4 linked regions of the Drosophila melanogaster genome follow. The protein of the gene in region 2 interacts with the protein of the main gene of each other region in a pairwise test. Each region holds a gene or a part of one and is shown on either strand. Other genes may lie near its edges.

Region 1 (7,289 bases), on a different chromosome or scaffold from region 2:
CGGAGGCGACTCTGGTGGCCCCCTGGTTACACACGACGGCAACCGCCTGGTCGGAGTGACCTCCTTCGGATCCGCCGCTGGCTGCCAGTCTGGTGCTCCCGCCGTCTTCAGCCGCGTCACCGGATACCTGGACTGGATCCGCGACAACACCGGCATCTCCTACTAAGCAGTTGATGTTCAATAAACGATTATAGCAAAAATGAAAAATTCGACCAAACTATTTATTCAGTTGTAGATTGAGGGGCACATTATTGAGAGCTAAATATTTATATATTCTATTATGTACATTAAATGTACATATATTATAAAACTAAAAGTAATCTCATATTTTCCTTAAATGTTTTTAAAACGAGATTGTTTAACTTATTTTTATATCCTATTTTTATATTCTATCCATATGATAGCTGTTGAACGCTAGTAGCGACTATAGGGTATTCCTATATTTAAAACTGTTTAAGCTAGGAAAGTCCACTTGCAGCTATTTATAATAACATAAATTTATATTATGTTTATGCACTTTAATTATGTTGCAAATATAACAAGTCCAATATTCTACATACACCATTTTCAATCCAGTTTGCTTTTTATATACATAATATACATAATAATTATAAACAATACATAATAATAATACATAATAATAAGACGTATGATCCATATATATATATTTGCATATAGTCCGATGGTTCGTCATTATGTGTTCCTAAAGCTTGATTTTTTCCGATACATAAATCGGAAATCGGAATAAGTTTATTTCCGTTTGCAGTTTAATATATTTCCCTTCACTTGGAAATATTTTATTGATTTCATTACTTAAGCAAGAAGACATCTGAATCCCATCCCAAAAACAGAACTTGAGTTGCTTGCTATAATCGTTTATTGAAGAAACCCCTCAGAATTAAGGAACATCAACTGCTTAGTAGGAGATGCCGGTGTTGTCGCGGATCCAGTCCAGGTATCCGGTGACGCGGCTGAAGACGGCGGGAGCACCAGACTGGCAGCCAGCGGCGGATCCGAAGGAAGTCACTCCGACCAGGCGGTTGCCGTCGTGTGTAACCAGGGGGCCACCAGAGTCGCCTCCGCAGGTGGACTTGCCTCCGTCAGTGTTGATGCAGATCATGTTGTCGTGGAGAGACCAGGTGCGGCTGCAATCACTTTGGGAAATGATCTGGACATCGACGGACTGGAGCCAGTCGGGCAGTGGGCTGCCATCGTAGGTGCCGCCCCATCCGGAGGCCACGGCCCACCATCCGGCGTAGTCCTGGTAGCGGTCGTTGTAGCTGGGCAGCTCAACCTTGTTGACCAGGCTCCAGAAGTCGACGTGCGGGGTACGGATCAGGGAGATGTCGTTGTGCAGGTTGCCGCTGTTGTAGTGGTGGTGCTGGATGATGTCGCCACTGCCCACCCAGTGGGTGTACTGGGGCTGGGTGCGGATGCTGGCTCCGTAGTTGATGGTCACTCCACTGGCTCCGTTGGTGCAGTGAGCGGCGGTCAGGACCCAGGTGTTGCCGATGATCGAGCCACCGCACCACCAGTTTCCGTTGCCGCTGAAGAGCAGACCCACGATGTAAGGCACCTTGCCCTCGTAGGCTGGGTAGCCGTTGGTGATGCGACCCTGAATGTCCTTGATGGGCGTCGGGGTCAGCTTCTGGGCGGGAGCGGGCACAGCAGTAGCTGCGGCCACGGCCAAGGCCAGGAATACGAACAGTTTCATCTTGGTCAAGTCTTGCAACTCAATGGTGTTCCGATGTCGAAGCGCCTTTATATACAGAAGAAGTCCCTTGTCTTATCTTGACCAAGTGTCAAACTACCCATATGTTGAGCTGGAGGGCAGTAAATTAATGTCATCCAGATTACATAGGAGCAAAAAGACAAAAAATAAACAACGCAGAGGCTTGTACAGCAATATAAAAAACGTAAACTTATCAGTGTTCAATGATTTGCGAATCAGTTAAAAATACAATAAATTTAATGTTAAATACTACTCATCGGATGCAATTCATAAAATCATTTTCTACGTGGGTACATTCAATTTGTTTAAACACATAAGTATCTTATCGGTGCCATAAAGCAAATCAGCATTGATACTATAGATTTTTACGATCATGTTGAGGGCTTAGAGATATAATTTTAATACAGATGGCCATAAAATGAATTTTATCCCGCAATCTTGACGGTTTCCGGTGGGGAGACAGTGAAAGTGCAACCTGCTACGCAAACCCAGGGAAAATGAGCTCTTTCGCTTTTCTCGTGGAGAACTGAGCACATAACTCACAAGGGTCCTTAAAAGCTAAATAAGGCAGGAGTTTTGTTGGAGGCCAATGAATCATTGAGTGCAACCCAGTTGTACACTGCAGAAAATCATGTATAAACCCAACATAGCATTTAGTTAATGGGAACTTATAAGAAGAATGTGCATTTAGCCACATTTGTGTAATGAGGAGTACCTTTATATAATTACGAGAATGCCATCCAGGTATTTTCAGCTATGGCCTCTAATTAATTCGCACTTAATGAGTTCCCCTCGACAGCTGTGACTTTAATTTTGAAATTCCTTGGGCCACCATCACTTCCTTCCTCTTCTCTTGGAAGCCATGCGAGTGGAGTGTGGAGTGCATTGGCCCCGCTAAAAACCCCGTACGACTTGAACACGTACGATGCCATTCCGCCCGGAGCTCCATTGAACCCCACCTTTCGAACACACACATTCATCTCAAAGGGCTGCTCCGTGAAAGTGGGCTTGTTCCTTTTCCTTTTCTCCGCCTTTAGCCAGGAGCTGGCATTTAGTTCCAAGTGCATTGACACACAAAAGCCCTGCGAGCGCCCTGAAGTAAGCAACATTCAACATTCAAGGCTCAAGACGCTCGGCTGCCAAGGACGAGTTGGGTCTTAGATGTACACCACCCCACCTCCCCCTCCCACTTCCCATGCAGATTAATCAATATTCATCAATCACAAAGTCAGAATCACTGACCCAGTGCCCAAAAGGCATTCGAAATCATTTCAATTCGGTAGATACTCGACTGTAAACTGCAGGTGTGGTGTGTTTTCCGGCTCTGTTGGTTAGCCAAAAGCTTAAAAGCTTGCATTTTCTCCTATTTTTAAGGGCTTTTCTCGGTGAATAGTTCTAGGATATGAACCCAAGTCCATGAATCCCTATTTACTCGCAAATTAACACCCTCATGCTACTTTTTGAATATTAAGTAGCTTTGAATTTCGGCTTGAATAGGTGTCAAAAAGTATGCAAAGTGCGTATTTTTTTTTTGGGCATTGATCTATATTGCTGGGTACAAAATATTAGACACCTATTTAATTTCATATCTCAACTGTATGCATCATTTCATCGAAATATAAGCAGATAATATTGTTCCATTTAGCACGTTTTGTTTTTCACTTACATATAAACCCACTGGGCAGTATTGATTTGGATTTTCAGGCATAAAAGTGGTGCGATTCCGTTGCTGGGGCTTCGAAAATCGAAAGTCGCTCATCACGTGCAATGCAACCACAAATGGACGAAAGATTCCTGAACTGAAATCGCTAAAATCGGTTGCTGCCTCCAAATGCAGCCCCACAATTACCGAAGTGCGGTCAAATGGGCCCATTGACTCGGGGTTCGCCCACACATTGACCGAGTTTTAGCCACATTGGGCACTAATGTAATTAGTGGAATATAGCGACCCGTGGCTGCCACTTTTCAGCAGTGCAACGCGGCTAATTGGAGGCGGAACATCGCCACGATGGAACACTAAAGGATACAGTGCGCGAAAGGATTACGCCAAGGCTCCCCGAGGAGCAGGGATAAATGCCCATAGTGTTTGTGAGATGTGAAGTGACCGAGTGATCCGATCCTGATAATCGCGTTCGCATAGACCAGTAAATCAGTGCAGATATGGGCAGCAATACGGAATCCGATGCCGAGAAGGCGTTGGGGTCTCGCCTGGATTACGACCTGATGATGGCCGAGGAGTACATCCTCAGCGATGTGGAGAAGAATTTCATATTGTCCTGCGAGCGGGGTGACTTGCCAGGTGTCAAGAAGTGAGGCTTCCTCCCTATGGCTTCGAGTAACTCGGCTAATATGATTTCGTCCTTGAAGGATCCTCGAGGAGTACCAGGGCACGGACAAGTTCAACATTAACTGCACGGATCCCATGAACCGCTCCGCCCTCATTTCGGCCATCGAGAACGAGAACTTCGACCTGATGGTGATCCTGCTGGAGCATAACATCGAGGTGGGCGACGCCCTGTTGCACGCCATCTCGGAGGAGTATGTGGAGGCGGTGGAGGAGCTGCTGCAGTGGGAGGAGACCAACCACAAGGAGGGCCAGCCATACGTAGGTCACATCCTGCCGCAGAATATGCCACAACTCTTACTCTTTTCCCCTCCTTTGGCAGAGCTGGGAGGCGGTGGACCGCTCCAAGTCCACCTTCACCGTGGACATCACGCCCCTTATCCTGGCCGCCCACCGAAATAACTACGAGATACTCAAAATCCTCCTGGATCGCGGGGCCACGCTGCCCATGCCGCACGACGTCAAGTGAGTGGGGTGGTGTAGGGATGCAGTTGCTCGGTGATATGGCTATGTAGTGAGCTTCCTCGTCCTTCGAGCGGCACGTTCCATTGTTTGTCCAATTGGCAACACACTTATGTAGCACATCGCTGGGTGCCTCTAATTTTAGATAATTGCGGGCAAATTAGGGTGAAATATTAATACAGGGTGTAATGTTGTGTGTGGGAAGAGCAGGTCCTTGAATGTTCTTAAATTGGGTCAATGGACTCAAGCCTTTAACAGCGTCATAAATGTCCTTGCTAGGAGAGAAGGTCCTTTGTACTCCTTTCAGATTGATTTAAATGTATTTATTATTATAGAACTCTTGGGTTCCGTACACTTTGTATATCATCGCTTAATCTCAATTGTTTCTAGGTGCGGCTGCGATGAGTGTGTGACCTCCCAGATGACGGACTCCCTGCGCCACTCGCAGTCGAGGATCAACGCATACCGCGCCCTGTCCGCCAGCTCGCTGATAGCGCTCAGCTCCCGGGACCCTGTACTGACCGCCTTCCAATTGTCCTGGGAACTCAAGCGCCTGCAGGCGATGGAATCGGAGTTTCGTGCCGAATACACGGTACGGTAGTAGTGTGCAATGTAAGCGGTGGCCAGTGTGCCACTAGAGTCTATGCGAATGCGAATGCGAGCCTTTGTTTGTGTTTGCCCAACAGGAGATGCGTCAGATGGTGCAGGACTTCGGGACCTCGCTCCTGGATCACGCACGCACATCCATGGAACTCGAGGTGATGCTCAACTTCAACCACGAGCCGTCCCACGACATCTGGTGCCTTGGCCAGCGGCAAACCCTGGAACGACTGAAGCTGGCCATTCGCTATAAGCAAAAAACGGTGGGTTCGGACTAATCCGTGCACATTAAGGAACTGTGAAGGTTACAAGCTTGTGGCTAGATACCCATGCCTAATCCACCACAGACCAACTGGGATTTAATAGCTTTATATATAGAAACGGATCTTAGTACCCTGCTTGAATTTATAAACATTACTCCCCCTTCTAGTTTGTGGCACATCCAAATGTCCAACAATTGTTGGCCGCCATTTGGTACGACGGACTGCCGGGCTTCCGGCGCAAGCAGGCCTCCCAGCAGCTGATGGATGTCGTGAAGCTGGGATGCAGCTTCCCCATCTACAGCTTGAAGTACATCCTGGCCCCGGATTCCGAGGGTGCCAAGTTCATGCGCAAGCCCTTTGTCAAGTTCATCACGCACTCCTGCTCCTACATGTTCTTCCTGAGTGGGTAAAGTGGGTGCTTAACACTTCATCCATCTAAATATGCGCCCATTCACAGTGCTCCTGGGTGCTGCCTCCCTGAGGGTGGTGCAAATCACCTTTGAACTCCTCGCATTTCCCTGGATGCTGACCATGCTGGAGGATTGGCGCAAACACGAGAGAGGTTCACTACCGGGTCCCATTGAACTGGCAATCATTACCTACATAATGGCTCTAATATTTGAGGAACTGAAATCTTTATATTCGGACGGCTTGTTTGAGTACATCATGGATCTTTGGAACATAGTGGACTACATATCGAACATGTTCTATGTGACGTGGATTCTTTGTAGGGCCACCGCTTGGGTAATCGTCCATGTGAGTCCATATGAATCTAATGAATAAATTGGAGTTACTGAAACGAATTGATTTCAGCGTGATCTCTGGTTCCGGGGCATAGATCCTTACTTCCCAAGGGAACACTGGCATCCGTTTGATCCAATGCTTCTATCAGAGGGCGCCTTTGCTGCCGGAATGGTCTTCTCCTATCTAAAGCTCGTCCACATCTTCTCCATTAATCCCCACCTGGGACCCTTGCAAGTTTCACTGGGTCGCATGATAATCGACATCATCAAGTTCTTCTTCATCTACACACTGGTGTTGTTTGCCTTCGGATGTGGTCTCAACCAGTTGCTATGGTACTACGCTGAGCTGGAGAAGAACAAGTGCTATCACCTGCATCCCGATGTGGCTGACTTTGATGACCAGGAGAAGGCTTGTACCATCTGGCGAAGATTTTCCAAGTATATTACATTCATTTCTATGTACTTTATCATATTGGCATCCCATTTCAATTTACTTTAGCTTATTCGAAACATCACAATCGCTCTTTTGGGCCTCTTTTGGCCTGGTGGACCTGGTCTCCTTCGATCTGGCGGGAATCAAGAGCTTCACCCGCTTCTGGGCACTGCTAATGTTCGGCTCCTATTCGGTTATCAACATCATTGTGCTTCTCAACATGCTGATTGCCATGATGTCCAACTCCTACCAAATCATCTCGGAGCGAGCCGACACTGAGTGGAAGTTCGCCCGATCCCAGCTGTGGATGAGCTACTTCGAGGATGGCGGCACCATTCCACCGCCCTTCAACCTCTGTCCCAACATGAAGATGTTGAGGAAGACCCTGGGCCGAAAGCGACCGTCACGAACCAAGAGCTTCATGGTAAGTTACACTCAGAGAAATTCAATATTTCAGTTTAAGTATTATACAAATCCACACATATATATTAAATTCAGTGTACTCTACTTTTAAATGATATTTCTTATCATATTACTTTTAAATGTAAGTAACATTTCGAAAGTTCGATTTTTTCAAGTTGAATCACCTCACAGTGAGAGGCGGCTCACAATCAATACAAATCTTAAGCGAAATCATTTTCAATCAAGCCCATGCAGAGCTATCTGTGCGTCAAATTGACGTCTAATACATCCTTTCTGTGTCCTTCCACCC
Region 2 (10,585 bases):
TGCATACAGGTAAGACTCTTCGTAATCGTGAAGATATTGCAAGCCCATAATTGTTTTACACATTTATTTTAATAAAAATATTTGTAATAAAGGGTCTTGTGTTTACAACTGCTAATAAGTCTAGATAATAAATACATATACATATTATACCCGTTACTTATCGAGTATAAGGGTATACTAGATTCGTTGAAAAGTATTTAACAGGCCGACTATATAAAGTATATAAATTCTTGATCAGGATCAAAAGCCGAGTCGATCTAGGTATGTCCGTCTGTCCGATTGTCCGTATGAACGTTGAGATCTCAGGAAATATAAAAACTAGAAGGCTCAGACAAAGACGCAGCGCAACTTTGACTCATGTTGCCACGCCCACAAACCGCACAAAACTGCCCCGCCCAAACTTTTGAAAAACGTCTTGATATTTTTTCATATTTTTATAAGCCTTGTAAATTTCTATCTATTTGCCACGCTAGGGTATCTAATATTCAGGGAAATCGACAAAAAAATTAAAAATCTAAAGTGCTCTTTTATTTAGAGAGCCACATGGAACAAGCGATATAAGTTGTATAAGTTGTATGGGAGAAATGGCTTTTTCCATGCCACTTGATTAATTAAACTTTTCCTCACCTCGATTCCAGGTCTGCGTGACTCAGGCGGACGAGCAAACGTCCCTAAAGCTGACCCCGCCGCAATCCTCGACGGGAGTCGCTGCCGTTTCTGTCACTCCGTTGCAGAAGAAGACTAGTGGGGTTAACCAGTTCATTGAGGAGAAACAGAAGATCTCGCTTTCCAAGGAGCGGCGAGCGGCTCGCACCCTGGGCATCATCATGGGCGTGTTCGTCATCTGCTGGCTGCCCTTCTTCCTCATGTACGTCATTCTGCCCTTCTGCCAGACCTGCTGCCCCACGAACAAGTTCAAGAACTTCATCACCTGGCTGGGCTACATCAACTCGGGCCTGAATCCGGTCATCTACACCATCTTCAACCTGGACTACCGCCGGGCCTTCAAGCGACTTCTGGGCCTGAATTGAGGCTGGCTGGCGGGGGCGGGTGGAAGATATAAACCGGGCCAATCATGGTTCGAGCGGGAGAGCGTAACTCAAAGTTTGTGCCAAACTTAAATGGTCGTGTATGCGTTCAGCGGAGATCTCAGTCTATGTACAGTTGGACCCCCAGTTGATGAACTTCCGAGTTCAACTTCTCTAACACATATATACTTTCAAATGCGTTCTTGGTGAACTCATTTTGAAGAAGTGGATGAATTTGGTAAAGTGTAATAGATTGAATATAATTTTTAATGTTTAACGTTTCGGCAAAGTGAAAAGCCCCCACATTGGAAAGTCAAAGATGAGACTCGAGTGTATATATAGTTTCAAACTAAGTTATTATTTCTAGCCGTAATTAAAATACTTTCATTTAGTTTTGAACATTTTTTTAATATATTGTTGTTTGGAATCGATTGAGATGTACCACCACATTAAGCGTAGATTGTTCAATACTCATACTAAAATGGGTTGTGCTGCGATTAAAGTGAGGATGTTGCCTCAAGGCACAGCTACTAGGAAAATCATAAAAATTACATGGTAAAGAATTATACATGCATTATACTCCAGCTAAGTGGCATCCCAAACGAGAATAGCATCAAATTGAATTTAATACAATTAAATTAAATGTTTAGGCACAAAGAATTGTGGCAACTTTCGTGTTTCACCCTAAGCGTATGGATAACCAAAAAGGTGTTTGTTAAATTAAATCTGCGCTCAAGATATGTAAGCAACTACTAAGCTAAATAATAACTTCCAAGAGAGAAACGTTTTCTAGGCATTACTTTAACGATTTGTATTTATATGTACTTTAATTGTAGGTAAACGATAAACCACTATACCTAATGTATACTTTCAAATACGCTTTGGACTATTTGTTAAATAATTTAACGATTAATTGTTTTTATGGCATAGCAACTATTGTGTTGAGTGGGCAGCTTAAAGCTAGCACATCGAAACTTACTTAAGGTAGATAAATGTTTAACTGCACGTTACGAAATGCAACAGAGTTGGCGAAAGGACGTAATTCAATGGATGTGTTAACTCAAGTACATGCTATATCGTAAATGTATATCACAATTTATGTCTTTTAACGACGATGTACGATAGTTTCACTAATTATATTGTTTAACGAGAAAGAGCGAGCAAAGCGTAAATGAAACAAATAAAAGACACATTCGAATTAAAGTTATAAGAAAAAGCGTTTGAATTTATCTAGATTGGTCTACCTTCTTAAGGGTAAGTTAATTAGGTTTCAAAACGAAAGACTTTTTCCCTCTTAAAAGATCTAGCTGAAAAAATGATTACCTAGCAAGACCCGTAGTTTTAGCGACACCTTCTGATAACTTACATTATATATCCTTCGTTACAATGTATTTCTTGTGCTTATAATTTTTAACTAAATAATTTTCAAAACTTCCTTCCTCTAAACGGTTTCGAGCTATTGGACATTCTCATTGCTGCCAGTACAGAAAATAATTAAATTCGTTTGATTATTTTAGCAGAATAGTTTCCCTTTGGCCCAAATGAAAACAAACAGAAAACGAATAAGTTGGTTTTTAAATTTTATTGACACGGTTGGAAGAACCTGTAATACATAAAATGAATCAGTGCATCAGTGCACTTTAAAGTACAATAATTTTTCATATTTACATTATCTCTTCGCCTGACTGCAAAGTACGCGGCATGGCATATCGTTACAACAAAGACACTAGAATAACACTAGAATTATTCTAAGGGGTCTTTGGTTACAAGCTGTTTACCCGCAACTATCGGCTGCGTTCGATAGCCATTCGCAGGGAACGCCGGTTTGTTTCAGGTAGCTCAATTGTCTCACCACTAGCAAAGTGACGGCTTGTAAATTGTTGGGATTTAAAATTTAAAATTGTCTGCTGCACAGGGCAAGATCCTAAACATTGGTTACCTGAGAGCGCGGATTTCCGCGAAGCGAGACGCGTTCACAGACAAGCAGACCGCATCCCTTCGCAGAGCGCATCCCTGTAATGAATATAAGCCAGCGACGCACTTGAAAGACCAGCCAGACCAATGGAGACCTCGGAAGCGGTGAATACGTGTGAGGAGGGAGACCAGCTGAACGGCTCCTTCCGCCTGCAGTGCTCGATGTCCTCCGTGGATATGGAGAGCGAGAGTGACCTCTCGCTGGCATTCGAGCGCGAGGAGCAAATACCGGATGGCGGCTGCGACGAGCTGCCGGCCTTCGAGATCCGCGCCTTCTCGCCGCATGGACGCACCCCGTCGCCCATCGACGATCTCGATCTGTCGGACATCGAGACGCCCAAGCAGCCGCAGAGGCAGCATCTCCTTCCGGAAGAGGAACCCCAGAACGATCCTCAGTACGTTGCCCTACACGAGATAAACGCCCAGATCAGCCCGCCCAATGACGCCGACGACTCCAACAGCTTGGAGACGATCTTCGAGGGCGTTTTCCTGAGCACCCCGCCCCGCGATAAAGCTTCCAGCTCGGGCAATTCCCGATTTACGCCCAAGCGCGGACGTGCAAATCTCATCGAGCTGATGGCCAACCGGCTGCACGGCGGCAAGGAGAACCAGTCGCCGGGAGCGCGAGTCTCTGACCCGCATTTACCCTCGCCACTCAAGGACCCCACCTAGTGACCGCAGTCCAGCCTTCCCAACCAAAGCCATGGAGCCCTCGCTCAGACTGCCATCGATGTTCTAGAATAAGTTACCATTTACCTGAATGTATTGTTCACACCCAGCGGTCAGCAGGTGTACACCCAGATGTGTATCCTCGGCTGATCCTTCAGTTTACCTAAGCTTCGTGTCACGCGTTTTCCGATGTCAGGCTAAAAGATTTTGTAGTGGTAAATAAAGATTGTCGTCTTTCCATGTTTCAAACATTAAACCAAGGTTATGCTCTTCCCTGCCGGGCAGATGGTCCAGGTAGGCAGAAGGAAGGTTTATATTGCTCATAGAACAGACTGATCAGCGGTACCTAGAACTAAACCAACCACTATTGTAAACACTGGAAAGTTCGATGGCTAATTGACGGATCTAGGCATACATTGCTACTACGTAATTTGTAGTACAAATTGATTTTCGAAGCCAGTATGTTTACAACATATTGTAGAATGTTCGATGTAACAGTTTGAAAAATAAAATATCGTACTACGATGTTCGTTTAAAAACTTGTCTGAATAATATCCTTCTCACGTTTCGATTTATTTATAAAGAAAATGTCAATATTTGCTTATTAATCTGAAATGTAATGGTAATTTTTGGACCTCGTGTACCTTAGGACTACTATTTTTACACTAATCCTATTGTACCTAGGTAGTACATTGAGTAAACTAGTATAAAAATAAGTAATTCTGTGATTAGGTATATTATTGGAAGATACTAAATCACTACTTTCCTGAGTCGCATTGCGAATTCGCGTCGTACACAAACTCTACGCTGGAAGCATTATTCAAACTTAAAAATAATTGGGACGAGCATTGAAAGTAATATAGAGTAATAAAATCGGGAATGTTTCATAGGTTATAGAACACATTCGAAAGTAAAACAGCGACCAGGACAGGGGAAAATGATTACTTAACTTTACAATTTTGTAGGCAATTACAAAAGTTAAATAACACTTGCTTTTTTTCTATATGGCAGTGTGAAACGCATTTTGTCCAGCAAGTCCTGTCGTGCGATTCGCATCCAATCAGAAGTTCTTTGAATGACGCGATGCTGAAAACACCTTGACGCGCAGCAACCCTGGATTAACTTCTTGCCATCTGAAATAGGTTGGTGAATAATTAGACGACTTTTAACGAAATATGCCCCTTACTAACCGCAAACGGCGTTCGCCCAGCCTGGCCTTCACCCTGTTCTTAATGGTGGACACTCCGTTTGCGCTGTGAAGACCACGGCCCGTGATAATGAATACGTGCTTGTACACGCGGGTGGTGTTGCGCAGCACAGTTATGTGGCGGTCAAGGAACAAGTCCAGGCAACTGATCGCCTCTACCGTGTGTAGGTAATGCAGGTCTAGCAGGTCCGGGTTGTTCTGGGTGTGCCGATGCACCTCCATTATGCAATTGGCCGCCCTCTGGTTGAATACGTCGATCTTCTGCTTGTGTAACTTGGCTATCTCCGAGTAGTATAACGCCACGCTACTATTGCCGCGCTGTACCGCCTGTTTGGCCTTTAGATAGCACTCTGCTTTAAGTTGGGAGTGATGGGCGGCCATGTTTCGCGTCTCTTCAAAGTCGCGAAGAGCGGCGCACTTGACCTCCTCTTGCAGTTGGGGCGACCGGCCAGAGGCGTACGAACTGGAGCTGGAGCGCTGGCCTTGGCCGGAGGAGTTATGTTGCTTTTGTTGCTGCTGCTGCCGCCGCTCTTCCAGCGCCATTTGCTCACTAAGCTTTTCGCCCTCGCGAAGGGCCTTATCATAGAGTTCCGCTTTGCTCAGCATACTCTTAACGTTGCTGTCCAAGACCTCGACTGTTTGAACGTAATTGCTGCCGGTTGCGGCAAAGACCTCAAGCACAGTGTCGGTAGGAACGTCCGGGAACGTCTCGCACAGCTTCATCTTGGTTAGGTGGGTAGCTATATCGGTGGGCGTTTGTTTGCGAGCGGTCAACTCGGCTGCCTTCTTGGCGGCCAGCTGCTCGCTATTGTATATGCTCCAGGCCAACTCCATATCCAAAAGCTCAGCCACGTTGCTCGGAGACTCGCTGCAATCGGCGTAACCTGGATGCTTGAGCAGGCGGGCGAACTGCTCGTCATCGCGCATTGTCTGCTGGCGTATCTCCTCTAGCTGGTTAAACACAGCTTCCATCCATAACATGTAAAGCTGCTTGGCTAGCTGACGCGGCATAAATATTTTTGTTGCGGTGGGAAGCTCCTGTTCCGGCGGCAACAACTCGTCCTCCGTGTGGAACTGAGCGCGCAGCTGCTCAATTAAAGTGCCGCCCAAATCAATTTCCAGCAGAGTATTTTCTTCAGGGTCCTCCTCCTCCTCCTGCTCTTCAAGCTCTGGTTCCTCGGGTGCTTCCAGTAGCTTAGGCACTGTAGGTTGATCCAGGATTCCATTGCGAATATCGCGAATTTTACGGGTGTGCTCCGAGTATTGTTCGTCGCCTAAAAATCAATAATCATTAGTTATTATTAGTTATTTAATATTAGTTAGCATCAGATATCGAACTCGAATCTCTAACATAATATAATGGAAATACATTAAATTCATTAGTGCCGTGAGTGTTAACGCAATATAAATAATAAGTTTATTTTTAATTGACTCCTATTAGAACAATATCTTACCTAACACAAAGCAATTCTGGATTTTCAGTTGCAACTCTTTGTTGGTGGGGGCCGATGCTCGTTTGTTGCGCGGTTGACGTTGCGGCTTGGATTCGGTCTTCGATACTGGTAAAGTTGGTGAGGCGCAGATGGGAGTTGAAATCGGAGATTCCTGGGCTTCAACCGCCTTGTCGCAGTCGCATTGAAACTGCGCCGCCTCCTCGCTATCGATAGTTTCTTCAAATCCGATTTGATCCGAACCAGTGGCCGCGTTGAGCTCGTCCTCCTTTAATAGAATATCAACGGCCCAATCCACGTCGGCCTGGCACTTTACAAACAGATCCCAGAGGCCGGCCAGCTGTTTGTTGGGATACATCTGGCGCAGGTGTGCAAACCCTTTCGGTTCATTTGGGCAGTCTAGGCTGTGCATCTCAAGAGGCTTTGCCCCGCTAGACTCCGCTTTCGACGGCACCACCTTTATTTGGTTCTCTTCGCGGAGCAGATCAATAATAGACAATTCGCTCTTTACGGGAGCTGCGGCACCCAAAGCATCCGGAATTTCCGGAACTGTCGCGTCGCCTGTGTCTACTGAGTTCACTGTTTGCGACCAGTATGAAGGCGCTCCGTGCTCGTAGGGCACCCACGTTTGGGCATTAGCATTCAGCTTAAAGGCATTTTCCGCTGGCGCTGGGACTGGGGCTTCCAGCAGCTTGCTCTCTTCAAAGCTCGTGATGATAGGCACGGCAGGAAGGGGCGGGTGATTGCGTAGTTGCGGCAGCTCCACAGAATACTTTGTCTCCTTCATTAACTGTCGCATAAAATATTCCGGTAGAGGATGTGAAAGATACAAACTATAGTAAGTGCCATTACTTAATAAGCTTCGGGGTAGAAAATAAAATACAACCAAGAACGTAATATACCAAAAATTTACCAATAAAAAATGAAAACGAGCTAGTTGCCTCAAATTGTATGTGTATGTGGCTAGACTGCCACATTCCGATCCTCGGATATTCGATACCCGTCTTCTCTCAGCTACAAAAAAGCGACTGTTTCTCAGATTGCCAGCGACTTTCTGACTGACCATGGTATGCCCTAAAAAATTAAGTAGCCAACAAAAAAGGCCTCTACTATGTTTCTGCAGGTGGTCTGAATGTTTTTCGCAATTCAAAGGAAGTTCGCCGGAAAAATAATGAAATGCAAAGAAGCAAAATTGAATTGGTCAGTGATAATGATTAAGAATAAATATATACCTCTTAAAGATTTTTTATCGAGCTTAGTTAAACGTTTTACACTCGCGTAACGGGTATACAATTACACATTTTTGGCTGACTCACAATGAGATTGCAGTTAACAATAAATCTCTATCTTTATATACATATGTATGTATATAGACGATTTAAAGTGCCTTCTTACCTGAATGAGCTCTCCCGCAGTCGTCCGCTCGAATCGCTCTAGCATGCGCTGAATATTCTCCCGTGGGACGTTGTGGACGTTTTTCTGGGCCAGTTTGCTGGCAGACTTGCACCAACTAGTATTGGGCTCGAGAAGCTCAATTACGTAACCGTGGCGCACGGCGAACTGGACATATGGCTGCATCTCCCAGACCATTGTATTGGTGTTATCCACGATGATGGGGCTCCAGCCGGAGGCGGCCTTATCGCGCACTCGCTGCTGGTTCCACTCGTGGGCAGCTGGCAGCAGAGTGGGGTTGAAGACATAGCCGCGGCGCGTCTTGAAGTAGTCGTCTGAGCTCAGGACAAAGTCGCGCACCTGGTGTCGATCGAGTAGATGCGCCTGGCGCAGCAGAGACTCTGCCAGTGTACTCTTACCGCTGCCTGAAGGGCCGCGCATTATGATCATCAGCTTATGGCCCGCCTGCGCCCGCTGGCAAATCGAGTTAAATTGTTTGTTGCTTTGGTTGCTGTTCAGATTGCTGGCGGGGCACATTCTAATGGAGCTTGGGGCTTCAGCAGTTGCATATTTCCTGTGAGTTCCACCGCTCTTGCTGCGACCGCAATTGTTATTGTCATTATTATTATTGTTGTTGTTGTTGTTGTTATTATTATTATTATTATTCTTATTATTATTATTGTTGTTGTTGATGTTGATGCGGTCCAACAAAAGCGCCAAATCCGCTGGTTCAGCTGAATGCGAGCTTCGCTCTGTCGACATGGCGTTTGTTTTCCTTTTGCTAGCTTGCCCTGTGAAAGCAGATCGTTTAGGGGGGATCGACCAACGTAATGCGCAGTAACCACAGACACCCCATCACCCAATTCGCATCTGAATCTCGGACTCACCAATATCTGACCAGACTGTAATCCCCCGATGTCGTAACTGCGCGTTGATGTCTCAATCTCTCTCATTCAATCGGTTGTCATGCAAGGATCAACCTGCGGGCTGCAACTTCGTTTGCTTGTTTCCAGAAATCGGGAAGCTATGCGTCGCATTACATCCGTTAATTCGCTGCATTGCAAGTTGGGAAAACCACGTCTGTGCGGAGGCTATCGATGGAGGAGGCTATGGTCACGCGTCATCGATAAGCAGCAGTGCTGGCGGCCAGCTTTTTTCAAGCCAAGCTATTGCTTCGGAATAAAATCGCTAAGTTTTTGGATTTTTTTTTTTAATACTATGAAAACATTATGTTAAGCACATAAATAAGATTCTTAATATGATTATGATAAATGTTATAAAATAACATGAAATTATAACGTCGTTATCACGTCCGTCCGTACGAAATCCAATATCTCGGGAACTTTGAGAGCTGTTAATTGGGTACTAAACACCCGAATTCTAGTTTCGCTTACGCAGCAAAATATAGTTTTTCTTCCGATAACATAGAAATGGAATTGTGAACAGAAGAAGAGAAGGGAGAATGCTATAGTCGAGTTACCCGACTATAAGATACTCAGTTAGTAGTGTGCGAATTTCATAATTTTTCTGGAATATCGATCGATATTGAGGAAATGTGTGTTATCTTTGTATGGAAAAACATCGATAAATAAATCGTGTTATCTGTATATTATTTCGCACCAAGGACATATTGTTGTTTAAAGAAAATAAATACGTCTTTCGTTTCTACATTTGCCATCATATTTTATTGAGATACCATTTACTCAGTTAGTAGTGTGCAAATTTCATTAATTTTAAGAACATTTTTTAAAATTGTTTAAAAGTGGGAATGTTTTGGGCGTTTTGCTGGTGTAAAGAGGGACGTGGCAAAAGTGTTTTTGATACAGATGGAAATTGACAAGACACACAATAAAACGAAAAAATTAAAATATAATGTATATAATAATATAATATATATAATAATATGTATAATATATATATATGTATATATATATAATATAAAAATAATAAAATATAATATAATAAAATATAATTATAATAGACAAATAAAAAATGAAAAAAATATCTTAACAATTTGGACAGTTTTGGGCGGCTTGTGGGCGTTTATTGGGCGTGTTAACATGGGTCAACAAACTTGCGCTGCGTCTATGTCTCTATAATCGCTATAATTATTCTTAACATTCTAGCTTTCAAAGTTCCTGACTGGACAGGGCACATATTCAAAAATAAGTGGAATAAATAGTCGATACCGAAAAGGGACATGGAAAAATATCTGTATTTCATATTTCGCACTGCTATTTCATTGAACACAGCTGTATATACATAACCAAATCCGATGCAGAGTATGAAAACAATATTTTAGTCCGAAGGTATAAAAATTTTATTTATTTGAATTTTTTTTTGTGTGTATGCCATATCGTATTCGATTCTATTTTAACCCTATTTCTTTAATGCTTCTTGATTAAAAAAAGCAAAACATGTTTCAGGATATACCTTTAGATTGAGGCGGAGCTGCTCTGTCTGAGTTGCCTTCTACGCGTTTTTAGCGGAGTCACCAGATATGGAATTTTTCAATTTTTCAAGCTTCCTTTAAAAGATTGTAGTCTTTGGAGGCGTCTAAAGGTGGGACTAATAAAGCGCCCGGCCAAAGCGCGCAAATACGAAGATATTTTGGAGCATGCATACATCAAGGCAGCAAGGGTATTTTTTGCTGCAGATGACCAAACTGGTCTGGAGTTATGAACCAAACCAGCAATGGTTGCTGGTGTTGCCTTCCCCCATTTCGGTGTAGTTGCCCAATTTAGAAGAGAGCGCAGATATGAAACCGCTGAGGACCAAACTGTTTTCAAAGCTGAATATGGTCCAGCTCGTGATCCCTGGGAAAGTGTTTTAGCGACTGTTTCCGTAGCAGAATTCACTGAAGC
Region 3 (8,460 bases), on a different chromosome or scaffold from region 2:
TTTCATAGCATACTTAGAGGCATCTCTTAATTAGAGTTATCACTGCTTCTAATGTAGCGCAATTAGTTGTTTTATTTATTTTCAAACAACACAATTTATTATTAAATGGGAAGATTAACCCTTTCTTCAAATACTTAAGTTTAAAAACTTTTCAACGTCTCTATTGACTTGCCTGTTGATGCGGACAAGCAACAAAATTTGAACTTTAAGGGGTAAACAACGAGTCCTTATTTTGTACACGGATTTATTTAAATTAGGTACTTCACAACTTTAGATATTCCTTGGTTTTTCGAGATATTTAGTCACTTTTCTTTAGCATATTCAATTCCCAAAGCAGGTGTTTTGAACTATATCACTAAAACAAACTCCGCCGAGAGCCGAAGGCGCTGTTCCGTTGACATTTTAGCTTATAATTTCACAAATACATCCCCAAGCTCGGATTCTTTACACATCCTTGCATATATTTTGTATATATAAACATTTCTATATATATTTATATATTCAGGTTGCTGTTGCTCGTTGTGACTGGAACGGGCAGAGAAAGTGAACTCTCTCAGCTGATGGCCTTTCTCTCACCCTCACCGAAAACGGTATCACAACGGTATCTCTATCTCTCACTTTTGACACTCTCCCTGAGCGAAAATGCACTCTTCAATGGACTGTGTGTGTGCGAGTGTATGTGTGTGTGTGTGTGTGTGTGGGTCGCTCTTCACAACATAAAATCAATAAAATCTGGGCCACCAGTTTTAAAGGTTGATTAAAATGACAAAAAGGCCCCCTCTTTGTATTGTTAAGCTTAAATGCCATATAAGCTAACTCCGACTTCTGACTATATACTTGCATATATGTATATATATTGTATATATGTATGTATATAGAATTACTTATTGTGTCTCCCGCAAAATCAAAACGTTGAAGCCTCCAAATCCCACACACCTACAGCAACAAATACTACGAACATTTAAAGACGTATTTTTCCGTGTGTCTTATGTACTGACACAAAAGTGAATATAGGGCTTTTCAAGTTCACTTGGCTAACACACACACGCGCAGTGGGGAGTACATAGAATACTGTATTTGCTTACATAACTTTGCATTCAAAATGCATTCATATAGAAATCAAGGCAGTTCAACAATCGGATAAAACAGAGATTGGATTTATATTGAAAAACCAAACCTTTAGAAGTACCTAGGATTTGTAAATCTAGCAGAAGGTCTCAAAATTATGCAGTCAGAAATCTTTAAATCTTATTTTAAAACATTTTTTAGTTGCATATTTTCTGCAGTTCATCGCATATTTATTGATATATACAAATTGTTAGAAGCATTAATTAGTGGAATTAAAAAGAACGTATAACAAAATTGCATCTTAAACTTTTGTTTTGAGTGTAAGTAGTTTTGTTTTTATTTACACAGCACAATTCGTTTATGACTACGCTTTTGTCTTCAAATTAGCGAAATTGGAATCAATTAAGTTAAGCTTTCAATTTGCGTGTCTGCGAAATAGGTAACAAAGGGTATTTAAAGTACGACTATTTGCTAAAGGAAATCAGCTTGCTTGTTTGAAGATAATTAGATGAGGTTACACAAACGCTCATACAGCTGTATATTTTATAATCATCTGTTTTTTATTTAGGTTCTAATACAGGTGGTTTCTCCAAGGAAAATGTTGTGAGAGGCTGTGTTCGTTTTTGTACAGATGTCCATTTCAAGTAACTAAATACAGACATAGGTACATAGGAATTAGCGTATTTTCGATTAACTTCGAGATTAACAGTTTCTCTTGAATGTAATTGTAATTTTGGTAGGGTTTATGCTAATGTTGTGCTCACAATCGTATTTTACATTTGTTTTATATTTTGTTTTTTTCCCCATTCGATTTGCATTCATATTTTGCATAGCAGAGTGTAATTAATGCCGTTGAATTGATTACCACTGCAACTGAAGGGTCTGAAGTGCCCAATCTAAACGAAAATGTGACCGAGCGAAGTAATTACCGGGCCCCATTACATAAAGCCAATGTGGGGATATGTACATACATATGTACATATATAAAGATCTGGCTGGACTCAATGTTTACTGCGCGCTGAATTGTATCGCACTAGATAGGTATATTTTTATCGACAACAAACAAAAGAGAAATGCTCTACGATTTTCAATACATTGCATAACCAGCTTTAGGGGAATTTCCTTGCAGCGCTTAGTGGTAAAATCACACTCACACGTTATATTGTGCATTCGAAACTTGTGGATTGTAGACATTGTGCAGTACTTCAATTTACAAGATCATCACAAATTATTTTTAGTTATTGCTTTGCAGCCTTCTTTCCCGCAGTTTTATCGAGCGTTGTGGAGCAAGCGTTGCTCTAATTTTTCCCCGACTGGCGCAGGGGTATAATTTCAACGGCGAGAGAGAGATAGAGAGAGAGAGAGGAAAAGAGAGATAGAGAGTGGGGGAACAACAAGAAAAAAAAAATAGAAAAATGAGAGACCCTGGTGCTCAAGACAACACAAAACAGCTGACCGACCGACAAACTGCGTATGAGTTTGTGTGCCTGAACTATTGGCATTTTCTCACTTCCTCTTAATTTTGTTGCTGTATTATTATTATTTTTTTTTATGTTCACCCATGCACTTCACTTGCCAAAATTTGAAGCATAACGCAACATAATCATATGAGGACACATAAACACAGTCAGCTGTTCGTAAGATGTTGGGACATTTTACCTCACAACAGCAAACAACAAATAAAAAAAAAAAAAACAATATTAGGCACATGATTCTCGTTCGTTTATCTGAGCACACACGAAAATTGAAATGACAAATACACTGCCATGCCGGAATGTCTGTCTATACAATACACATTTGAGTGTGTACAGTACACAATATAATTTTTTTTTTTTTTTTTTTGAATACTATTTTTTCCCTGTATGCATGCAAGTAGATACAATAAGCTTGCGACGAACACCGCGACAAAATGCCAAATGATGGTCTTCTGACGCGATAGTATTTGTCTGGCACAAGTTCGTTTTTTGGTTTGGTCGAAAATTATTTCATTTCATTCGTTCTTTGGCAGAAATGCAAAAGCAGCTGCAGTCGGTGGTCACTATGCTCTCAAACTTGCAACAATTGCTATCGAATCATCGATGTTGTTTCAGATGAATAAATAAATAAAAAAAAAACAAAAGCTTGCGCAAATGAAATCGCACACATGTACTATTATAAAATTCGTCTTTTGTTGTGCAACACAACTATAGAAGACTGTGCAGAAAGTACAGTGGAACCTGTCTAGCACGAACATTTTCAGAGGTGTCAAAGTTATATATAGTGGGATGAAATTTTCATAACACTGATAACATGAGGTATCGACATGTACTCTGAATTATTTATTGAACAGAATTGTGAAATGGTCAAGTTAAAGAATGCGTACTGTATTTGGAGCTTGCTAACGCAAATATCAGCTGCTAGCTATAGCTTTTAAGCACGAATTACGACAACAAATTGGGATATGCTAGATTAAGATAGATCGATTTGTATTTACATCAAACTTCTTAACAAATCAATATCCATATATAGTATTTAATAATCTGAGCTCAAGCCAACTAAAGTACCCTACTGTAAAAGCTTTGGGTATTCAAATCTTGTGCACCCTTCGGTTTGCTCTTTCATCTTTTGAGCTACGAAAGTTTGAATGCATAGGAAAGGGAGTTATAGTTCGTTCCCTGGAGTCGAGCTCTCTCTCTACCCAAATTTATTGAAGAACAGCTGTCCCTTTCGGCGCTGAAAAGCCCAGTGCTCTAGTGAGCGCCATAACTAACGACAACAAAACAAGAAGTATGAAAACAGCCGAGCGAAAGTGAGAGAAGCGATGCTCCATCTCCTTTTTTGTTTTCTTTTTTTTTCGTTTCTTTTTTTTTTTATATCACAATCATTGTTATTGTATTTTCTGTGGGGGCTAGATAGATGTATGTGTAGTGGGGGATAGTTCGCTGCTTTCTCAATTTTTGCACAGCACACACAAGTACACAAATATATTGCAATATTTTTTTCGAACAAAATAGATAAAAAATTGTAATTCAACATTTATTTGTTTTTTTTTTTTAACTACCGGTGCAGTTTGCTGATGGTTATTTCTTGTTTCCGATTTACTGTAGTTTTTGGTTGTTTCCTCCTGGTGGTCGTTGTATTAAACGAAGGATTTAGCGAGTTATGTATAAAATACCCCAGTTGTACCAACTAGTATGCTATTGTTTTACTTTTGCGTGGGTATATGTGCTCGGATGTCTATTTATTATTTTCTTGTTTAATGTGGTTTGGTTTTATTGGGATTTTGATGGTTTTTGGTTTTGTATTTCTTGTTGTATTCTATTTTCCTATTTTTTGTTGTTGTTGTGAAATGTCTCTGCCCGTTACTTAATTGTAGCACACGCCACTTAGCAAGGGCCGAGCGAAGCGTCCGTAGTTCTTGAAATCGGTTTAGTAACTGAGACTGAATTGACGCGCGAACGGGCCTCAGTGAACCAACAACAAACAAGTGCACACGCACACTTCGGCACCAGCACCCCCACCTTCACCACCGTGTTGGTCTTATTCGGCACTACGCACGAATCACTCACGAAGCTAAATGTTCTAAACTCGGTTCGGCTTCCCACTCTCTCTCTTCCTCTCTCTTTCCCTCTCCCTATCTCTCTCTCTCTGTCTGGTACTTGCACCCACGGTTGTCAATTTAGCTTTTTTCCCGTCTATGGTGGATTGCTTAAAATAAAATAAATATTTAAGCGGGCACCGGTAATTCTAACTGTCCAAGAGCCCAACACCAAACAGACGGAAATATAATTGAAAATATTAAACAAGAAATCATAGTTTTGTTGTTTTTAATCAATTTTTGTTTTGATAAATTGTTTTGACTTTTTTATAGACCAGTTTTTTAAATTTATATTTACTGCAAGGGTATATGAGATTCGACTGGCAAAAAAAAAAATTGTTCTTGAAAAAAATTGGCAGCACTGCTTGCACTCATCATATTTTTGTGTGGGTGCTTTTCCCTGGACAAAATTATATCCGAAAAGGTGGTAATATGACTAAAATTTGTTACCTTCAATTTAGCAACCGATGTAAATATATACATCCCATATTGGTTTGGGAAAAGTGTCGACATAAACATGATATACTTTAGTTAAAAGCAAGTTAGGATTGAAATATTTAAAATATCAGTTTAAAGCTTTTGAAAACTTTTACTTTCTTGCTTTGTTGTAGTTTTATTTTAGTCATTTTAAATATAGTTTATTTATAAATCATAGTCTAACTTAAATTTGCAATATCAATATGATATTCTGAAAAAGTTATGTTATATATTAATAGTAACTAAACCTCATAAGATCATCGTGTGAAATCATAATGCCTACTTTGTGGAAATCCTAGCTAAGTAAATATTAGTTATTTTGATAGTTCTCAATATGGATTTGCGATTGTTAAGGTATTTAAACTTCACCTTGCTTTTACATCGCTCGGATGCCCTGAATAATTTTGCGCGTGACTGGACGATTGGAGGAGTGTGTGGGCGTGTGTTGGTTGTGCTCGTAGTAAAATCGAGCCTAGAAGGGCTTGCGCAATGAGTGCATATCCTTCCGTGGCACAGTTTTAGTACAGCCCCCCCCCTCCTCCTCCTCTTCCACCACTCTGGCCGACAAAACGAGTCGCTCTCTTTGGGCTTTGGCTCGGACCCCTCCCCCCCTTTTCCCTTTTCCGAAAACTGGGACAAGAAATGAAAGTGCATGAGCACGTAACATATGCGTACATACACCCAGAGGTAATATGTATATGTACATTAGAGTGGACCTAGCTCGAACAAAAAGGTGAAAGGTCACACCTGTGTATGTACATATGTATGTGCATGTATATTCGTCGTGAATAGTAAGAAATATTGTGATACTCTTACTTTCCCTTTTTTCAAATATTTAAATCAAGAATGGTGAAAACCTTTTCAATGTTTGGTAGATAAAGAAGTACTAAATGAAATTGAAGGATTTTTATTTATTTCATCGCAAAACATTTGGGGTACACATTTATACATTTATTAATATATACGCTTAGATTTTGAACGAACATGCATACAAAAATATGGATTTCCTTTACATTTTCGATTTTTATCAGTTTTATAGGATTTCTTTTTTTTAAATTGGCTTTCCAGGAATACCTAATATGGTACAATAATTTATTTTTCTAGACTAAAAAAAAATATTAGTATAGGTATCACAAATATATATATTTATGTATATATCAATACATAATTTGTAGCGAAATTTAATGTTTCAAAAGGATTATTGATAAACTCGTTGAAAGGAAATTGATTTTGCTTTATTGACGGACTTGGATGGGTCTGTCTCTTAGGTTGAGCTGGAACTTTGTAGAAGAAATAACACCCTTCAATGGGAGGAACCAATGTTATACAAAGACATCGCTCACATTTAACTTAAGTGGGATTTACATTTAATTTTGATTTTAATCCTCATAAGTCCTCATAAGCTTTTTAGTATTAATTCCATTTTAGTTAAATGTGGGCGATATGTACGATATTTCCATTAAAAATGCGATACACTTAGTATTAAACACTGACTATTGAATCTGTATATGTACATACATTGCGATATCGGGATTATAAAGATAATGCTAGCTTTAACGCAGCCAAAACGATTGTTGTATTGTAGGTAAAAATAAATAAATATTAAGCACTTGCATCGCTTGATGCTTATTAAGCTCTGGTTCTACAGTGTGTTTCAAAAAACCTTGATTCCTGTTTAATTGCTGTCTTGAACAAAAAGAAAAAAACACTCTGTAGAAGCATCGTCGAAATATTACAAACACACACATGTATAAGTTAGGAACCAGCGCAAATTCGGTGTGCGCTTTACTAGCACACTCTGTCCTTAAGTATATCTTGGGATTAAAGTATATATGTATATGTGACCTCTGTTGCGAAATTTCGATCCCTTCTTCCCTACGGGATGAAGATAGAGGTCATCGTCTTGATGCGTAGATTATATATAAGATTGCGGCGAATCCATTTAGCTTTGGGTCTCTCCAGAACGCATCTGTTCGCGACTTTCGCCTCGTTTGATGAACCAGTTCTTATTGTTCCGCTTCTGATGTTTGTGGCGAGCGTTTTCTCGCTGTAGCATCATTCGTTCATGCCACTCGCCACTACCGCTATCGTTATTAGGATAGCGTTCCTTGCTATTCTCGTTGGAGTGCTCCTCGTTGGATTTTTTAGAGTTCTTATTGTAACATCCTCGTTTATTGGATGACTGATCGTAGCATCTAGTTTTACCCTTCTCCCGTGAGTGATCATCTGTACGGCTGCGGCGATCGTGATCTTCATTCCGATACCGCTGCTTTCTGTCGTTCGTGTTGTACTCTTGCTTATACTTTGGCCTGTAACGCTCTTTCGAACCATCCGCCAGCTTCGATGACTGGCCATGGGAAGTTACGGTTTGTGGACCATCATTTCTTTTCGAGTGAAAACCTTTGGGATCAACGTTTTCGGTATCCTCGGCACCGGCAAAATTGCCCAGCTTCTCGGTGACCTTTTCAAACTTGTGAAAGGCTCCAGACTGCTGTAGCACATCGTTGACGGCATTTCCAATCTCATCTGTTAAAGAATCCAAATGCTGCTTGTTCTCCACGCACATGCCAGCGATCTCAACGAACTGACCATCGTCGCACTGAAAGGGTTGCTTCAAATCGGCCTTGGTGATATCCACGGGCTGAACCGAATCACCATTTCCTGGCCAGGCCTTGAAGGTCTTGCCCTTGGCACGACCAGATCCCTGTCGCTGCATCGTTGCGTCCTGTCCAGCTGCAAGATATTGCAGTTTCTTCGACATGATATCGATTTCGGCGCGCAGTAAATTATTTTGCAGCTCCAGCTCACCCACTCGTCGCTCCAGTTCGATCAGGGGCTTCTCCTCACCGAGCACCTGCCATTCCGGATTGCGTAGTTTGCCAACAAAGGCTAGAATGGCCAAAGTGGAGGCCACATAAAAGAAGGCGGTCAGGCCATTTTGCACCAGCGGTGGCAACTGCAGATCTAATTTGGAGCGCACTACGCTCTTGGACTCCGGCTGTTGTTGCTCCGGCTCCCGCTCAGGATACTCCGATAGCTGCTGGTCAGTGCTTATGGGGGCAATCAGTTCCACGGGACTAGTTGGTAAATCACCGAAACCCATGTCACCCAATAGGGGTTCGCGCAGAAATAGATTCGGTGATATGCGATCCGTACTCTCGCAATCGCTGATTATCGAAATGCCATCAGAAATATCATCTGCCTGAGGATCCTCGGCTGCAGGCCTATTGCATCTGCTTGGGATACAAACTTGTGGATGAGTTGCCATATCCTTGGGGAATCATTATGCTGTCTCACCTCTCGTTTTTCTGCTTATCCGCGCGACTGCTCGGCCTTAA
Region 4 (6,506 bases), on a different chromosome or scaffold from region 2:
AACACATAATGACGAACCATCGGACTATATGCAAATATATATATATGGATCATACGTCTTATTATTATGTATTATTATTATGTATTGTTTATAATTATTATGTATATTATGTATATAAAAAGCAAACTGGATTGAAAATGGTGTATGTAGAATATTGGACTTGTTATATTTGCAACATAATTAAAGTGCATAAACATAATATAAATTTATGTTATTATAAATAGCTGCAAGTGGACTTTCCTAGCTTAAACAGTTTTAAATATAGGAATACCCTATAGTCGCTACTAGCGTTCAACAGCTATCATATGGATAGAATATAAAAATAGGATATAAAAATAAGTTAAACAATCTCGTTTTAAAAACATTTAAGGAAAATATGAGATTACTTTTAGTTTTATAATATATGTACATTTAATGTACATAATAGAATATATAAATATTTAGCTCTCAATAATGTGCCCCTCAATCTACAACTGAATAAATAGTTTGGTCGAATTTTTCATTTTTGCTATAATCGTTTATTGAACATCAACTGCTTAGTAGGAGATGCCGGTGTTGTCGCGGATCCAGTCCAGGTATCCGGTGACGCGGCTGAAGACGGCGGGAGCACCAGACTGGCAGCCAGCGGCGGATCCGAAGGAGGTCACTCCGACCAGGCGGTTGCCGTCGTGTGTAACCAGGGGGCCACCAGAGTCGCCTCCGCAGGTGGACTTGCCTCCGTCAGTGTTGATGCAGATCATGTTGTCGTGGAGAGACCAGGTGCGGCTGCAATCACTTTGGGAAATGATCTGGACATCGACGGACTGGAGCCAGTCGGGCAGTGGGCTGCCATCGTAGGTGCCGCCCCATCCGGAGGCCACGGCCCACCATCCGGCGTAGTCCTGGTAGCGGTCGTTGTAGCTGGGCAGCTCAACCTTGTTGACCAGGCTCCAGAAGTCGACGTGCGGGGTACGGATCAGGGAGATGTCGTTGTGCAGGTTGCCGCTGTTGTAGTGGTGGTGCTGGATGATGTCGCCACTGCCCACCCAGTGGGTGTACTGGGGCTGGGTGCGGATGCTGGCTCCGTAGTTGATGGTCACTCCACTGGCTCCGTTGGTGCAGTGGGCGGCGGTCAGGACCCAGGTGTTGCCGATGATCGAGCCACCGCACCACCAGTTTCCGTTGCCGCTGAAGAGCAGACCCACGATGTAGGGCACCTTGCCCTCGTAGGCTGGGTAGCCGTTGGTGATGCGACCCTGAATGTCCTTGATGGGCGTCGGGGTCAGCTTCTGGGCGGGAGCGGGCACAGCAGTAGCTGCGGCCACGGCCAAGGCCAGGAATACGAACAGTTTCATCTTGGTCAAGTCTTGCAACTCAATGGTGTTCCGATGTCGAAGCGCCTTTATATACAGAAGTGGTCCGTAGTCTTATCTCGACCAAGAGCCCTTCCTTCCACACGTATGTAAAATGGGAGGGCAGTAAATTTTAATCAAGTTATCATCGCGAGCCATCGTCGACTGATAAGTCCACTACAGGTGATTTTTTTTTTTTGTAAATTATGGCCTAAATTTGAAGTGGAATGACATGTGCCTTATTTGCAACTTACTCTTCAGTATGATAGTATCATGTAAGGACATTCACTTCACCTAAAATATATTATATACTCAGATTACCCAAATGAGGAGTAAAGTATTTTATGATCTTTAAGAAATTTAAATTCTGAATAATGTTTATTGAAAGTATTTACTACCAATTTCAAAAAAAAGTGTGATAAAATATTACTCATACGGCACATTGTACAGTTTTTGTTCTCAACAAGTTGATTTTTAGATTATCAAAAAATAAAACACTAATAGGTTAATATTACATAGGTAATGTATTAAATGGTATGTATTATGTAATATGTAATGTATTGATTATGTATTATTGGTAATTTTATCTCTAAACATGAATATGCCACTATCTTCCAAGAAATTAATAATACACAAAATATAACAGCATATGTTCTTCATTTATTTAAAACTTGTTTAAGCACCTTTTTGCTTTGAAATTAGTAAAGTTTTTTTTTAATAATAGATTCCAGTCTCCTCCTTTATCCATTCCAGGTACTTGGTGACCCTAGTGAAGCCAGCCGGTCCTCCAACCTGGCATCCGTAAGCGGAGACGAAGGAAGTGATTCCGATAAGCTTATCACCCTCCTTTGTGACCAGAGGACCACCAGAATCACCCTGGCAGGTGGCCTTTCCGTCCGGAGTTTCCACACAGATGGTGTTCTCGGAGGCGGTATCAGTTCCGTAGTAAGCCTGGCACTCCGCCACGGAGATCACTTTCAGATCCACCACTCGCAGATCCTCCACCACATTGCTGCCATCGTAAATGGCACCCCATCCGGCGGCCTGAACCCAATTGTTTTCGTAAGAGTTGTATCGGTCATCCAGGCTGGGAAGCTCTATTTTGTTGACCAGGCTGTAGAAGTCCACATGGGGAGTCTTGATCAGGGCCAAATCATGATCGAGTCCAACGTAGTGGGGATATCTGATGAAGTTCTCGCTGCTCACTGTGTGGCGGAAGGCAGGTTCGTTGTAGTTGACGGCACCATAGTACAGTGAAGCCTCATCAGCACTGCAATACGATGATTTATCAAAGAGCGTTAATTATTTGTGAAATCAAATAACTCACCCAGCGGTACAGTGGGCAGCAGTGAGCACCCAAGTGTGTCCGATTATGGATCCGCCGCACCACCACCAGTTTCCGTTGCTGTTCAAGCTCACACCCACGATGTAGGGAACCTGACCCTCGGACGCCAGGTTTCCGTTGGTAATACGACCCTCAATCCCTCCATGACGAATCTCCAGATCGCGTGGATGGACCAGCGAATGGGGCACAGTTAGGGCACTACAGACCCCAAGGAAGGCGAGCGACAAGAGTGTAAGACCCCTCATATTGAAAGACTAAAAGGCTCCCATGGTGGTCCCAATACTATATAGCTTAGCCATAATCACTATCGATGCTAATTCAAAGTGCGAAATCTTATCTCGCAGCACTTTTATCAACGAAAAAGTTTGATTTATACTAGCAGATACTCAAGACGAGTGTTTGGCAGTATGAATGAAGTGTTAGCAAAGGGAATAAGAGTGTTTTGAGTGCTTCAATCAATTCTGAGTGGATACAAGTTCAAGCAATTTAATTCATTTAATTTTATTAAATCATAAAGAATTATTAACCATGGTTAATAGTAAATGCCAGTCTGCTCCCTGATCCAAAAAGGGCTGCCAATATGGGTACGCAAGCCTTCATTTTGTATACTAAAATCTCCTGTTGGTCTCACACTTTTATATAGACCAATGAAGTCACTATCGATGCACATATAGAAGTGTACAAGCTTATCGTGCAATAAATTATTTTAATTTATGCCACCCAATGGATTAACTTAGTAATAGAGTGCGTTATGGGATTATGTACTTCAAGTTCAGAAAAGCAAAAGTTTATAATCGTACCTCAAAATATATATTCAAATTGTATGCAATGGTTGAGTTTATGCATAAATTCCCAGTAATATATGTCACAGCACAACAAGTGAAAATGTGCAAGCAAGGTGTCATGGGGGGGACTTCAAAGAACCCCAAGGAACAGAAATGGCAATCGAGGGTCATGTGATATCCTTGAAGTATTGCAGGGAATAGTGAAGCAGAAAAGAAAATACGATTATGGCAATCAAAAGGGAGGTCCACTTTCGGAACTACGGAGCAGCAGTATCACTCAAAGTGAGGCGATGGCTTGAAATCCGATATAGTTTCTGAGGAACGCCTCGGGCGGAGTGGGCGAAATGGCGGACCCATTCCTCATTAGGAAGCTACTGGGAATGCCTTTGTTTGCATTCTCCGAGCTTCCCCTTGACCGTCCTTCCGCCGACGTAGTGCCACGCTGAAATGTGCAACATATCGGGGCAGGAAACTCACCACACGGAACGGAAAACGGAGAACGGAGAGCTATTAAAGCCGACCCCCAACGAAGCGTGAGTCAGTTCCCGACTGGGCGTCCGGGCATTCAGACCGCTCGCAAGGATAACGCGCAAGGATCCGAGCGAACGCGACGAGTAAATAAAGCATAAATAATACAATTAAAAGTTGAGCGCGCTCCCTTCGCAAAGGACATTCCCACACTTGTAGCCCACTTCCTTCGGGCAGTGCAACACAAAAGTGCAGTCATTAATTAATTTAATGCATATGTACCCCATCCTGGCAGCACAAGAGTCGAGCCAAGCCGACGATATCCTATAAAGCGAGTGAGTGAAAAGTGTTCGACGAAGCGTTTAAAGGACCGCGCTGTTTGCCGTGTGCGATGCCCATAACAACGGGCTTCGCGATTGCCTTTTAAGGTGGGGCGATTAAGTCACGCTCCTCCGTATCAGCGGCATCGCCAGAACAGGAACTCGGGGCATTGACACTGCGGTTTTAGTGCTCAAACTAAAAATGTGAAAGGAGAACATTAAATCCTGACATGACATACCAAGAGGTGTTATATCATTCCAAGTTCCGCGCTCTTAAATCCTTGAACATATCGAAGTAATTAAGAAACTTACAGCTGTAACTCACAGATACAGTTTCTAATGTTTAATTACAAATTCCATGCTTTAGGCACTAGATACCACCGATAGCACCATGTTCCCACCCAGTTCTGAAGGACACATCCGAGTGTCTCGACGTGACTAGGCCAAGCAGGCCCCACAGATTATAATCCCCAAGGGGACCAGGTCATCAGGATGCACCAGGTACTCAGCTACGAGACGGCGGTGCGGGCCAACAGCTCTCGGGAGTTCCGCGAGTACGTTTCCAAGCGCACCTGTGCCTCCCTGGTGCTAACGATTGGCTTCTTCATGCTGATAACAGGTGAGTGCATTCACAGGACAGCGCCTAATGAGTCACTCTTGTGTGTCGTGGTTTCGCAGGATACTTGCTCGGTAATTTTGTGGCCGAGCGCAAGTACCACATTCGCCAGATGACGAAAGACGGCGGCAGGTCCGTGAAACTGAGCAGCGCCGAGTATGCCAGCCTGCAGGAGCTGCAATCATATCAGAAGGCCAAGGATCAGCTGTTGCTGGCCGCCCAGGAGCTGGACAAGCTGCAGCAGCAGGACGAGAGCGAGCGGTATCTGGCCACGTCGCTGAACACGGAGATCTTCAACAGGTACATATCCTGCACGCAGGATATACCGCCCAACACGAACATTGCGGCCAGTCAGTTCACGGAACAGCTGATCGACAACACGGTGGCCAGGCAGCGCCACTGCTTGATGATCATCCAGCGGGTCATCGACAACCACCTGGCCAACAGCCAGCTCTAGAGCTCTAGGGCGGATGCCAGCGATGGTTTAGCGGGCCAATGTTCGACATTTGACATTTATGTGTGTATGTGCTTTTAGGTGTGCTCAATGTGTGTGCTCCCAGCTAATTAGAAATTAGGTTTTGTAATTCATTGTGAAAGTATTAGATCACACAAGTTTTTTATACATGTCTGCATTAAAAGTTAAACTTTAAATAGATGCTAACTATTTTGGTAATTGGCTAATGTTTAGTTCGATGAGTTATGCTGACGATACATTGGGTTCACGCCCTTAATGGGCAGGAAATGGCCTGCACTGTTGAAGACCCACTGCTCCAGCGAAACCACGTCGTCGTCGGAGAAGAGCAGATACAAATACTTCAGAGTGGAGCCCAAGAAGAAGGACCCCTGCACGTCATCCGGTTCCGAAGTAACGTTGTTAACGTCCATCACTCCAGTATATCCGTAGGGCATTCGGCAGTACTTCTCTATCGCCTGCACCATCTCCAATCCCCACAAGCGGTACTGTGGATGATGGGTTATGCGCCACAGAACCAAGTAAGTTTCCGCGACTTCCGGCCGTAAATTGTAATAGTTCCTCTGGAGCGGCTCTATTTCCTGCTGGCTTTCCTCCGTGAAGGCAAACGTATCCGGACCCAACCGAGTGGGAGAACTCCAGTAGCTGTCGTGACAAGTATCTGTGAGGCCTATGCCAATATGGGCATACTTTTCCCAGTGCTTCATTTGGGTTTCTGCTGCTCCCAGGACAAAAAGCCCGCCGGCAAAGCAATCGGAGTGCCTCATACGATGGAAAAGAGTGCCATTCCTGAACGTGGACACGTAGGTCACGTCCTCGGGATTGATGACAACCAGATTTTGAGCCACAGCTAGCATGGCTTCTTTGAAGGTATCAGCATTTTGAGTATCAGTTCTCCCGGACTGAATCCATGACTTTAGCAGGGTATCATAAAGTCGGTGCATGGAGCAGTTGTAATTTTCCCACTTACCAAATTTTGTGCAATAGGCATTGGGATAAAGGCCATTGGGCCTGGTTGTTTTAGCTAATATCTCGCGGATAGCATCCACTCGCTCCCTGTACACCGGATATCCAGAGACTTCACTGAGATAGTAGAACTCCAGGTGCAGAGAGCCAAATTCAGAAGTGCGAGAGATATCACTTAGGTACTTCGTGAGGGTGCTGCCTTC

The links.
Region 1: the proteins of CG7139 (region 2) and Jon99Ciii interact in a two-hybrid assay, tested with the Drosophila melanogaster proteins (one large-scale study listed by BioGRID).
Region 3: the proteins of CG7139 (region 2) and Tob interact in a two-hybrid assay, tested with the Drosophila melanogaster proteins (one large-scale study listed by BioGRID).
Region 4: the proteins of CG7139 (region 2) and Jon99Cii interact in a two-hybrid assay, tested with the Drosophila melanogaster proteins (one large-scale study listed by BioGRID).

The regions. Positions count from the first base shown.
Region 1 is NT_033777.3:29,916,667-29,923,955, reverse strand, and holds Jon99Ciii (jonah 99Ciii), read right to left. Parts: upstream 1,741-7,289; 5' UTR 1,715-1,740; coding exon 917-1,714; 3' UTR 501-916; downstream 1-500. Other genes in the region: Jon99Cii (jonah 99Cii), read left to right, coding at 1-166; trp (transient receptor potential), read left to right, coding at 3,893-4,041, 4,100-4,337, 4,399-4,541, 4,929-5,130, 5,225-5,401, 5,569-5,803, 5,859-6,157, 6,215-6,582 and 1 more. UniProt on the Drosophila melanogaster protein: Major function may be to aid in digestion.
Region 2 is NT_037436.4:22,063,044-22,073,628, forward strand, and holds CG7139 (uncharacterized protein), read right to left. Parts: upstream 8,806-10,585; 5' UTR 8,609-8,805; intron 8,513-8,608; 5' UTR 8,484-8,512; coding exon 7,725-8,483; intron 7,120-7,724; coding exon 6,333-7,119; intron 6,153-6,332; coding exon 4,862-6,152; intron 4,805-4,861; coding exon 4,732-4,804; 3' UTR 4,227-4,731; downstream 1-4,226. Other genes in the region: Oct-TyrR (Octopamine-Tyramine receptor), read left to right, coding at 1-9, 639-1,031; CG14561 (uncharacterized protein), read left to right, coding at 3,090-3,674; CG7133 (uncharacterized protein), read right to left, coding at 10,232-10,585.
Region 3 is NC_004354.4:16,087,039-16,095,498, forward strand, and holds the start of Tob (transducer of ERBB2), read right to left. Parts: upstream 4,458-8,460; 5' UTR 4,109-4,457; intron 2,330-4,108; exon of another isoform or gene 2,223-2,329; intron 352-2,222; exon of another isoform or gene 173-351; intron 1-172. Other genes in the region: CG42354 (uncharacterized protein), read right to left, coding at 7,065-8,358, 8,420-8,460.
Region 4 is NT_033777.3:29,923,254-29,929,759, forward strand, and holds Jon99Cii (jonah 99Cii), read right to left. Parts: upstream 1,363-6,506; 5' UTR 1,335-1,362; coding exon 537-1,334; 3' UTR 501-536; downstream 1-500. Other genes in the region: Jon99Ci (jonah 99Ci), read right to left, coding at 2,046-2,601, 2,659-2,921; CG15522 (uncharacterized protein), read left to right, coding at 4,742-4,868, 4,928-5,322; alpha-Man-Ic (alpha-Mannosidase class I c), read right to left, coding at 5,550-6,506. UniProt on the Drosophila melanogaster protein: Major function may be to aid in digestion.